Linked DNA regions of Caenorhabditis elegans. The protein of the gene in region 2 interacts with the protein of the main gene of each other region in a pairwise test. Each region holds a gene or a part of one and is shown on either strand. Other genes may lie near its edges.

The links. Proteins that work in one complex are often made in the same cells at the same time.
Region 1: the proteins of Y17G9B.5 (region 2) and C53D5.5 interact in a two-hybrid assay, tested with the Caenorhabditis elegans proteins (one large-scale study listed by BioGRID).

What each region holds. Positions count from the first base shown.
Region 1 is NC_003279.8:305,281-312,349, forward strand, and holds C53D5.5 (Gamma-glutamyltranspeptidase 1), read right to left. Parts: upstream 5,511-7,069; 5' UTR 5,508-5,510; coding exon 5,482-5,507; intron 4,482-5,481; coding exon 4,262-4,481; intron 4,155-4,261; coding exon 3,925-4,154; intron 3,512-3,924; coding exon 3,291-3,511; intron 2,535-3,290; coding exon 1,811-2,534; intron 1,329-1,810; coding exon 1,010-1,328; intron 809-1,009; coding exon 620-808; 3' UTR 531-619; downstream 1-530. Other genes in the region: imb-3 (Importin N-terminal domain-containing protein), read right to left, coding at 6,121-6,296, 6,354-6,504, 6,556-7,069.
Region 2 is NC_003282.8:4,748,470-4,752,011, forward strand, and holds Y17G9B.5 (Evolutionarily conserved signaling intermediate in Toll pathway, mitochondrial), read left to right. Parts: upstream 1-1,770; 5' UTR 1,771-1,776; coding exon 1,777-1,930; intron 1,931-1,974; coding exon 1,975-2,202; intron 2,203-2,250; coding exon 2,251-2,749; intron 2,750-2,799; coding exon 2,800-2,971; 3' UTR 2,972-3,022; downstream 3,023-3,542. Other genes in the region: rpl-18A (Large ribosomal subunit protein eL20), read right to left, coding at 710-1,045, 1,094-1,300.

The DNA.
Region 1 (7,069 bases), on a different chromosome or scaffold from region 2:
TGCTCTGCATCATCATCATCATCGTCAACATCATCGCGTTTTATTATGGGTTCATGTATTATTACACTTTCCTCGAAAAAAAATTTTGACGAACGTGTAATATGTTTCACCTTGTCTCATTTGTACCTCGTTCATTGTTACGGGTTTGAAGTTTTAAAACTCTGAATTTATATGAAGAATTTTAATTTAAAAAAAAACTTTGTTTCCTTTTTTGAATTTTTACAGACAAATTTTTGGCTTGAAAACTGAAAAACCCTGACTAAACTTACTATTTATGTGTTGGGTATCAACGTGTATTGACCCACGACGTGGCTAAGAAGATCGTACAACGTGAACTCTATGAACTAACTTATTTATTCCTTAGTTTAGTAATGTAATAAACTACTCGTCTTCTCCTCCTCGTCTCGCCTTCGAATACACAACATTATGAAAAGAGTTTTTCTTAAGATAAAAAATGTTCTAAAAAATCGATGGCCGAGTTTCCTATTTACGCGGCCACAAGACCAGTAAAAAAGTGTTAACACAAGTGCGAAAACTAGAACATTTATTTTCAAATTTCACCCGATTTCTACAAAAAATCAACAAAAAAGTCACAAAATTTAAAATATGAACATAATAATCAATATCCCGCTGGCGCTGACTCCTCCCCTTTTCGGAAATCACTGTTCGCATAGATTTGGCCGTCGGAAAGTCGTTCGGCGGCGGTGACAACTGTCAAATTGTTCACTGCCTTCATTACGTGACCACGATCGATCAGGGATTTCACGTAGGCTTTCGGGAAGTTTGGCTCGTACCACGTGTAATTTGGCTAAAAAATAAGGAAATTGGGAAAGGTTTTGATTTTATTGATTGAAAAATATTTCATGTGAAAGTCGAAAATTGATTGAAAATTAAATTCAGAAGTTTTTTTTCTGAAAATTATTGATTTTTATTTTTAAAAAATCAACTTTTTGACAATTATCGATTTTTCCAACAAAAAAAAAATCAAATTTCGCGTGTAATTCTCTACCTGTAACTGATTGTGCATCCTTGGAGCATCAACAGCTTGTTTAACATCTGCTTTCAGCCATAACGCATGCAGTGCAACTCCAGCAACACCCGAAATAATGGTGGATCCACCGGCTCCGCCGACCGCCATAAGCTCCGCCCCTTTTGTGTTAAAGATCACTAATGGACTTTGACTACTCATGGGGCGTTTTCCAGGGCGAATGAAATTGGCGGGAGACGGTGGGAAACCGAAGAAATTCGGATGACCGGGAGTGGAAAAGTCGTCCATTTCGTTATTCCAGAGAATTCCCGTCGATTCGGAGGATACTAGGGCACCCAGGCTGGAAGAATTTGAGATGGTGGAAGAGTTTTTTTGGCGGTGGCCTAGAAAATGTCTTCATATCCGAAAAAGTCAAAGTGATGGCCTAGAAATTTAAGTTTGTGGCCTATAAACTTGAACTGATGGCCTAAAAATTGAACGTCGTCCTAAAAATGTTTTTAACTGATGGCCTAGAATTGAAAGGTGATGGCCTCCAAATTTCAGGTGGGCGTATATAAACTTTGGTTGATGGTCTAGAAATTATACACGTGGCCCAGATTATGAAATCACTTCGGTATAAAATCCAGGTGGTAAACAATTTACTATTAAGACTGCCTAAAATCATCCCCTGGCCTAATTAGTTTAAAATTTTTGGTGACGACCTCGAACTTGTTCATTTTTATCAACTGCAGTTGCTTGTCGACTGAGGACTAACTTCTCACTTGCTGGCCGAGTTTTCGAAGTTCGGCCACCAAAAATTTCCTTTAAAAAAGCCAAACTCACTATAAGTTAATGGTAGACGTAACCGAAACTGCATTGCCGTCTGCATCGATAATCGATACATGAGTTGTTCCATGATCCTGCGGTGGTGCTTCAAACGATCCTCCATAGTAATCATCAGGATGCGTCGTGTCTGTGATCTTCGACCTAACCCAATCCGCCCACTCTTTTGACGTAATATTTTTGGCGATTTCCGTGGCGTTTGCCACGAATTGCGGGTCGCCAAGCCAGCTTCTAGCCGCATAACTAAATTTGCTAGATTCCAGAAAATGATGGTATAACGTTGCGATTTCGTTGAACGACTTCATGTTATATTCGAAGCCATCCATCACGTTAAGTATTGCCTGAGCCACCGCTGAGCCCGAGGGAGGCGGCGGGCCGCAGACTCCGCGCCCGTTTTTCAGCTTTGTGTAGATCACATTTTTTGAGTCGTGGACTATTGATTTGTAATTTTTAAAGTCCTGAAGCCGGATGATCCCACCGTTGGCTTCGAACTCTTTGGCGAGTTGCTCGGCGAGCCGACCTGTATAAAAGTCGGCGATGGGATCTGTGGAGTTTGCGAGTAGCCGGAATGTTTCTAGAAGGTTTTGGCGGGTTTTTATCTGCTCTCCTGGTTGGAAGACACGCTGAGTTTCGGGGTTGATGAAGTTTTTCATGGTGGGCTCCGCGCGGATTTGGTGCTCGTTTTGGTTGAGAGCTTTTGCAAGGGCATGGGACGTTGGGTAGCCTGGAATTTTTTAGGATGGCCTAGAAACATGAACCGATAACATAGTTACTTATTTTGTGACCTCGAAATTTTCATGATGGCTTAGAAATTTTTATGATGGCCTAGAATTTTTATGGTGACCTAGAAATTTTTTGATGGTCTAGAAATTTTTAGTAATGTAATAAACTACTCGTCTTCTCCTCCTGAAAAAATTTGGGCCCGTCTCCCTTCGTGGTGAGACCCATCGTGGCGAGACCCATCGTGGCGAGACCCATCGTGACGAGACCCATCGTGACGAGGCCTATCGTGGTGAGACCCATCGTGGCGAGACCCTCCGTTGAGAGACCCATCGTGATGAGACCCATCGTGGTGAGACACGCCGTGGTGAGACTTATTGTGATACCCATCTTAACGTACACAGTAATTGGAGAAACTTTTAAACTGATTTTTACAAAAAGTTCAACATTTAACTTACCAAGAGCTCAATATTCCGTTGCCTCGCTTTTTGTTGCCCTCAGGGATTATTGTTCTGTTGCCTCCATTTCCGTTACCCCTGTTGTGTTGCCTTCGAGCAGCGTTGAATCCGTTGCCCCCCCCCTTTTTCGTTGTCCCCGGGGAATATTAAATCCGTTGCCCCCGTTATCCGTTACCCCTAGGGATTGTTGGCCGGTCTAAAAACGGCCACCAGAAAAGTTTTTGAGCATCAAAAATGTTCTACGCCGTTAGGAGTTTTTTAGGCCAACAGAAATATTCTAGGCTCGCAGAAAAAGTGCCCACCTTCAGCCAACAAATCAATAGTTGGTTTCAACAACTGTCTCCACTCGACTTTTCCACTTCCGAATCTCTCGAATTCAGTCCGGAGGCCGTGAAGCTCTCCGGGCACCGCAATCGCCTTCCATCCGATTCTCGACTGATTCCATTTGTCACGGTACATTTCCTCTGTTGCGGCGAGCGGAGCAATCTCCCGAGCATCGATTACCGTACACTCTTTTGTCGTTCTGGAAGAATTTTAGAGGTTTCTAAGTCATTGAAAATATTTTTAGGCCACGGCAGAAGTTTAAAGGCCACACGCGCTTCTGGCTTTCCTCATATTTTGAAATGGAAGAGTTTGCCGAGTTAGCCCGTTTGGACTAGGCCACGACCGGGGTAAATTTACGGAGCGTCGTGTAGACGATTGTCAATGGAGCGCGAGAAAAACGCTTTGACGAAGGCCAGAAACCAGTGAGGCCACAATGTGATGTTTGCAAAAATGTTTTTAATGGCCTAGGAAAATCATTCTTTCTTCCAAAATTTTTCTTCTTTGTTTTCCTTTTCGATTATTGATTTTTAGTTGAAAAATCAATATTAATAATTATCTTTTTTTTTAATTATTGATGTTCCGCTCCAATTCGTGGCGAGACCAACAACTCACGCATTATAAATAGTCATAAAATGTCCGCCGCCAATTCCGGCCGAATGTGTATCCATTACACCGATACAGAAAAGTGCGGCGATTGCCGAATCCACCGCATTTCCGCCTTTCAGCAAAATATTCCGACCGATTTCTGAGCAAATTTCGTTGTCGGCGGCGACGGCGGCTTTCGAATATTTTCCGAGTGGAGAAAGTGATGGTCCAGGCCAACGGGGTAGGCGGGCATTGTTCTGGAAACCTTGCCGAGTTTTATTTTTATCGGCCACGTAGCAAATCGGCCAGCCATGAACCGACTGCGGACTAGTTTTCACCCTCGTGGCCTAGCTTTCTAACAAACCTGCATTAGTAAATGAAAATACAATGAAGCGAATGCGACCGTTGAGATTAACAACGTGAATACGAGAACCGTTAAGCCGACCGCCGCGACTAAAGTACGGATTTTCATGGGTTGCTCGGCCTCGATAAGCGGCTCAACTTCATCAAATGGTCCATATTCTGGCGGTAAATTATCATCGTCCGGAAACGTGTTATAGTATTGAACAGGAGGTGGGTTACTGCTGAAAAGTCGAGTTTTGCGCGTCAAATTTGATGTATTGAGTGGCATGATCACTATTATTACAAGACCGCGAAATTTTGAGAATGCGTATTGCACAACATTTTTGACGCGCAGAATATCTCGTAGCGAAAACTACAGTAACTCTTTAAATCACTACGGTAAAGCTTGTGTCGATTTACGGGGTTTCGGTTTTTTCATTTTTTTTGTGTTTTTTAAAAAACAATTTATCGACTAATGAATGATTTCCGTAAATCGACACAAACACTACAGTAGTCATTTAAAGAATTATTGTAGTTTTTGCTACGAGATATTTTGCGCGTCGAATATGTTGCGCAATACGCATTCTCAGAATTTTGTGTTGCCGTAATAATTCTGATTTAAAAATGGAATTTTCAAAAATCAGAGGTTTCCCAAAAATTTGAATATTCCACAAAAAAGATGAATCTGAAGAGTATTTTCAATTTTTTGAGAAAATAATCGATTTTCTGGATTAAAAAATTTGAATTTATAGATTTCTAGATTCTAAAATTTGAATTTGTGCAATTTCAAACAAAAATGTATCGATTTTTATCGACTTTTCATAAAATTTAATTTAATTTTCGAAATTCCGAAAATATTGCCCGTTTTTCATATACCAAAAAAGTTGTATCAATTTTTTCAAAAAATTAAATTTTCATCGATAGTTGTTTTCAAAGCATCATGATTTTTTTGAAAGAATTTGCAAATGTGAGAACTACAGTACTCCCTTAAAGGCGCACGCTTGTTTTTATTTTTAAAAAATTGGTCGTTTCGAGACCTGGTACCGTATTTTCGCATTTGGGTAATATTTCCAGCATTATAAATTTAAAAACAATGCACTTTTTAAATCTTGAATCCATATATATATTTTTTTCAGAAACTCATGCCGCCTCGTTTGGGTCTCGATTCGAATTTTTTTCACAAACGTATAATATTTTCTCGAAAAACCCGCGAATTTTTAACATTATCGATTTTTCTCTCACCTCGTCGATTGCCCTTCAGGAGTCATTATTCAGAATTGAGTATGAATTAAAAAATCATAGAAAAAGTCAAAGCGCTGTCAATTGGAAATTTAGGACGAGAATGTCAAAATTGCAACTTTTCACGATAACGGAATTCTATCGCAAAACTAGATAAGAGCTACAGTTTGCTGCGTGTAAGCGCGCTCCAATGACAAACGAGAAGAGAAGAGAAGAGGGGGTAACCGCCAATAGCTCTCTTTATCGAGGATAGTCTTCAAGTGACAGAAGAGATATTCTGTGGTGGGAGAGAGTTGGGTGGAAGGGGGAACAATGAGGACTACGGAAGAATGACTTTTAGATTTGGAGTATAGGAGAAAGTGGAGGTTTTGGCTGAAATTATTTTCAAAAACTTTAACTGTAACAACTAACGAGTAGATTTGAAAATGAGGATAATATTCAACACAACAGAAAAAAAGTCGATAGGTAACTAATAAAAATTAGAGAAAATGTGGCATCGGGGAGAAGTGGTGGAACAAAAGAAGAAACTGATGATGATGATAGGAGGATAGCCGCGAAACAAGCGATTAACAGTGAACAAGATTCATTTCGGTGAAGATGGAGAAGATAACAGCAAAAAAAAAAACACAACAAAAGTCCTTATTATTGCCCATTGAGAGTTTGTTGAAGGACACTGGTAAGGTGCTCGTCGATTCCATCTTGCTGCGCGAATTGTGGGAACGATGCGTAGATTTGCTTCAGGATTGTGACAATTCTTTGCTTGGTTTGGTTGCCGCTATCGTCGTCGTTGAAAGCATCGTTGGCGATTGAGAGCAAGCCTGAAAAATACAAATAAAAATAAAATAAGTTACGGATTTTTTTAGATTAGAACTTACAAACAAGGAAGATTCTCGGAAGATTCTGATTTTCTGGTCCAAAAAGTGCGGCGTCTTGTTTATCAAACAATTCGGCGAGACACGTGTAAATGTAGGGGCTTTCCTCGGTGTCTGAATATGTTGGCAACCAGCTCAGGAACATCTCGACGACCTGGAAATAATATGGAACTTTTTTCTTGAAAAACTGAATTCTAAAACCAACCTTTCCGTAGGCTTCAGCAGGAAGTGGCACATTGCCGATGATTTTGGCAAATGCAGAAATCGCGTTTTCCGTGGCAACAGTGCTCTCCTCGGTGGCTCGGGCGTCCTCTCGTTGAATCATGGCGGCCAGTGGCTCCAAACAGCTCAAAATCTCGTTTCGGTAGTCGCTGATCTGGTGGTAGTTGATGGCCATAACTCCGAAACCGTAGCTCGCTGCTTGTCTCACTTCAGGATACTCATCTCCCAACAACTTGTACATTATTGGAATAAGCTTCGGGAAGCGAGTTGGCATATGTCCGACACCGAACTCGATGGCGTCATCGAGAAGGCACATTCCCCATTGTCTCTCGAAGTATTGTTTGGATCCCTCGATGAGTTGAATGGCACAGTTGAACACGTTGATCATTCCCTCGAAGATAGTTCCCTTGAACTCCTTCATAAGAGAGTGAGTCAAATCAGAGATGGCTCCAAGGCATGAGGCCTCCAATTCCATGAAATAATCGAGCTCCTCCTTA
Region 2 (3,542 bases):
GAAATATATACTAAAAGAGTCTAGCAGGAAGAAACCGCCACAGCAGCACTTGGGGAACCGCCCGTGATGCAATAGCGAGAAAGAAACGGGGGTTGTGCCATCTCTCGGGCGGCGAGGAGACGCAGAGACACAGAAAGGCCATAGAACAATCGGGCGGTCGCTCTCGGGAGTCTGGGTGAAATATCATTCAGCGAGGACATACTAAAATGACGCTGTTGAACTTTTTATCTATGATCTGAAAGGTTTTGCCCTTAAAATACAAAAAATAAAGTTTCTACGAGATTTACCGCATTTCTAACGCTTACAACTTACAAAATCTACAGTTATCCAGATTTTTATCAACTTATCTCAATTATTAAGAATTAATTTACCTTATCGAAATAGTGATATTGAACTTTAAGGAATGTAGTTACAGATCTAGTAGCGTAAGAACTGAATATAGAAGAGCAGATATCTATATTGCAAAAGAACAAATTTGAAAATATTGACAAAATTTACCAGTCACACAAGTCAGCTGGGCGGTCCGATGCCTTATGGATCATTGCAATGATCATCTAATAACATCAACAAGTGCTGCGCACGAGATAAAAACAGTAAACAAATAACAAGCTGAACAAACAGGATTCAAACCACACAAATTTAAAATGAAAAATTAAGAAAAAAATTTGTTTGCAACAATTTATTGTAACAAATAACAATAATCCGCAACTTAGGCGAAGTGGGTGTTTTGGCGAGCGGTTGTGAAGACGCTGAGGTTCTTTCTCTTGGTGACGCGATGTGGGAGTGGGAATCTGATCTTGGCGTCGTGGAACATCTTGATTCCGGCACGCTTGGTGTCTTCGGCCTTGACGGTTTGGACCTTGAGGATGTGGATGCGGTCAGCTTGGGCACGATGACGAGCTCCCATGTCACGGTAGCACTGGGTGACGGCTCCGGCAACGGTGGTGTCACGGTACTCACGGTACATGTTGTGGTGTCCGGTACGGGAATCGTACTTGAGCCAGACTCCGTAGTTCTTGACGGTTCCTGGGTTCTTCTCGAACACCTGAAAATTTTATTGTAAAATGGGTTATTATTATTATTTTCCACAAACCTGCTTGATCGAAAGGATCTCTCCGTTGGCCTTCTTCACACGACGGAGCATAGAGACGAAGTACCAGAAACGAGACTTGGCGATGACGTGGTTGGTGGCGAAGATTTGCATCTTCCAGATTGGAGTCACTGGCTCCTTCTCTGTTGGGATTTTGCGTCCGACGACGACGTACTCATTAAGAGTCTCTCCAAGAGCCTTGGTTGGCATGTTTTAACCCTGAAAAACAAAAATATGATGCAAGGAATGGGGAATGAACAATCTGATATAATAGCGAAAAACAATTTTAGGATAACGTTACAATTTTCTTTTAAAATGGAAAGGTAGATGGGAATTACCGAAAAAATATGAGTGCATATTGCAATATTTAAAAACTATGAAAAAACTGTTAAATTTTTGTAAAAATCAGAAAAAGAAAAGCGGAAAAAAGCTAAAAAATAGGATCAGGAAAACCCAAAATGAATTTCAACGCACAAAAGTGTATGCGGCAGTGCTAGTTTTGTTGCGTGTTCTATTACCGTATCCTTCATACACTCGCCGTCGATTTACGGGGAGCGGTGGAGCGCACTTACTCCTTAGATTTTTAAGCAATTTTTTTGTTAAAAAGATATAGAAATGTGATTTTAAATGTTTTATTTTAACTATAAAGTTATAATATTAATTTATTTGTACATATTCAGACTTTAATGGCTCTTGCACATGTTTCACGACGGGTTATCAGCAATCAAATACGATGCTTTGCTGCAGCGAATCAAGAGACGAGTTTAGTACATGTTGAAAAGCAATTCGAAGCTATAGAACCGGAGAAAAGAGATAAAGATGCATTCATGGCAGCGATAGGTTTGGATATCTGTCTAGTTTCAACGATTAATCTATGTTTTCAGCCACGTTCAAGGAAAAACGAGGTCGAACGCATGTCGAATTTATCAACACAGCTCTAAAATATGTCAAAGAATATGGGGTTCATAAGGATATCGATACTTATAAAGGACTCCTTGAAGTTTTTCCAAAAGGAAAGATGATCCCACAAACTGTTTTCCAAAAAGTTTTCCTGCATTACCCTCAACAACAAAATTGTGCAGTGAAGGTTCTAGATGAAATGGAGTGGCATGGTAAGTACAAAGTCGTTTACTATTCATAAATTATCAAAAATAGTTGAGGTGTTCAACCGGATAAGGAGATCCATGATATCGTGGTCAACGCATTCGGAGAGTGGAATTTTGCAACGAAAAAGGTGAAGCGTATGCTCTATTGGATGCCAAAGCTGAAACATTCGAATAAATATCTGGACAGGCGCCACGTGGAAGGGAAGTCTCTATCACCCTCCGAGTTAGCCGGAATCGCGCTGAAAATGATGAGCCGAGACGCTGCGTCCTCTATTTCGCTTCTAAAACTGTCAGATTCATCAGATCCACAACAAAAATGGCTAGCCACGTCACAGAGCCCAATGCAACAGATATTAATTTCTGAATTGCGAAAAGGTGATGAAGTCTTCGTGGATGCTGCAAAAGTCTATCTACAAGACAGAGTTATTCCATTTATCACATTAACTGGAAATACGAAGCTGGAACCTTTAAACGAGTTCAAAAACGAAGATATGGACGAAGATTATACAAATTGGTACGCGGACTGGCAGAAGCAAAGAGGAGAAGCTAAAAGGTAGGTTTACAGTTCAAATTTTAGATTTGATATAAAATTTTAATTTTCAGATCGATCCACGAACAAGACCACGAAACGATTTTCGCAATGGGTGCTATGTATAAAGATGATAATGCAACAGCGATTCGATGGATTGATAATCTACAAAAAACCAACCCAAATATGGAGAACCTGAGGTTCCGAGTTCGATTGGAAGGAAACCCGATAATTTCAAGAAAATAAAATGTATTGTGTTGACTAGAATTTGAGAAACAATAAATAATTAACAGTTTGTGCCGATTCTCTTAACAGCTGACCTTGTTCTGCGTGTTTTTTTTTTGCGCTCGCTAGTCCCAAATGTTGTGATAAGACAACATTCACTTTTTTGGATTATTATGGATTATTGAGGATTGGCAGTACAGAACTAACTGCAACTCTGGGAGCGCCGAGGTCTGTCTAAAATGCCAAAATAAAAAATATATCCGGCGATAGATTTGTCTGTAATCCGAGATTCGAAATTGTTTTGTTTTGTGGTTCTATCAGAAGAACATGTTGCATGAAATTGTGATATCTTAAACTACAAGAAACAGGAAAATGTTAAACGCGGTTTTATAAAATAACAATACTGAAGCACTCATGAATAAAACCAATTTTTATCTAATTTTACGCATGAATACAGCGATTTTGTATTTTACTACGTTTTTTTTTACTACGAATTGCTATTGCATTTTTTTACTACGAATTGCTATTGCATTGAGAATATGAAAATAAGATAAAATAAATAGTGATTTATTTTGGGACGGTCTCTTTAAAG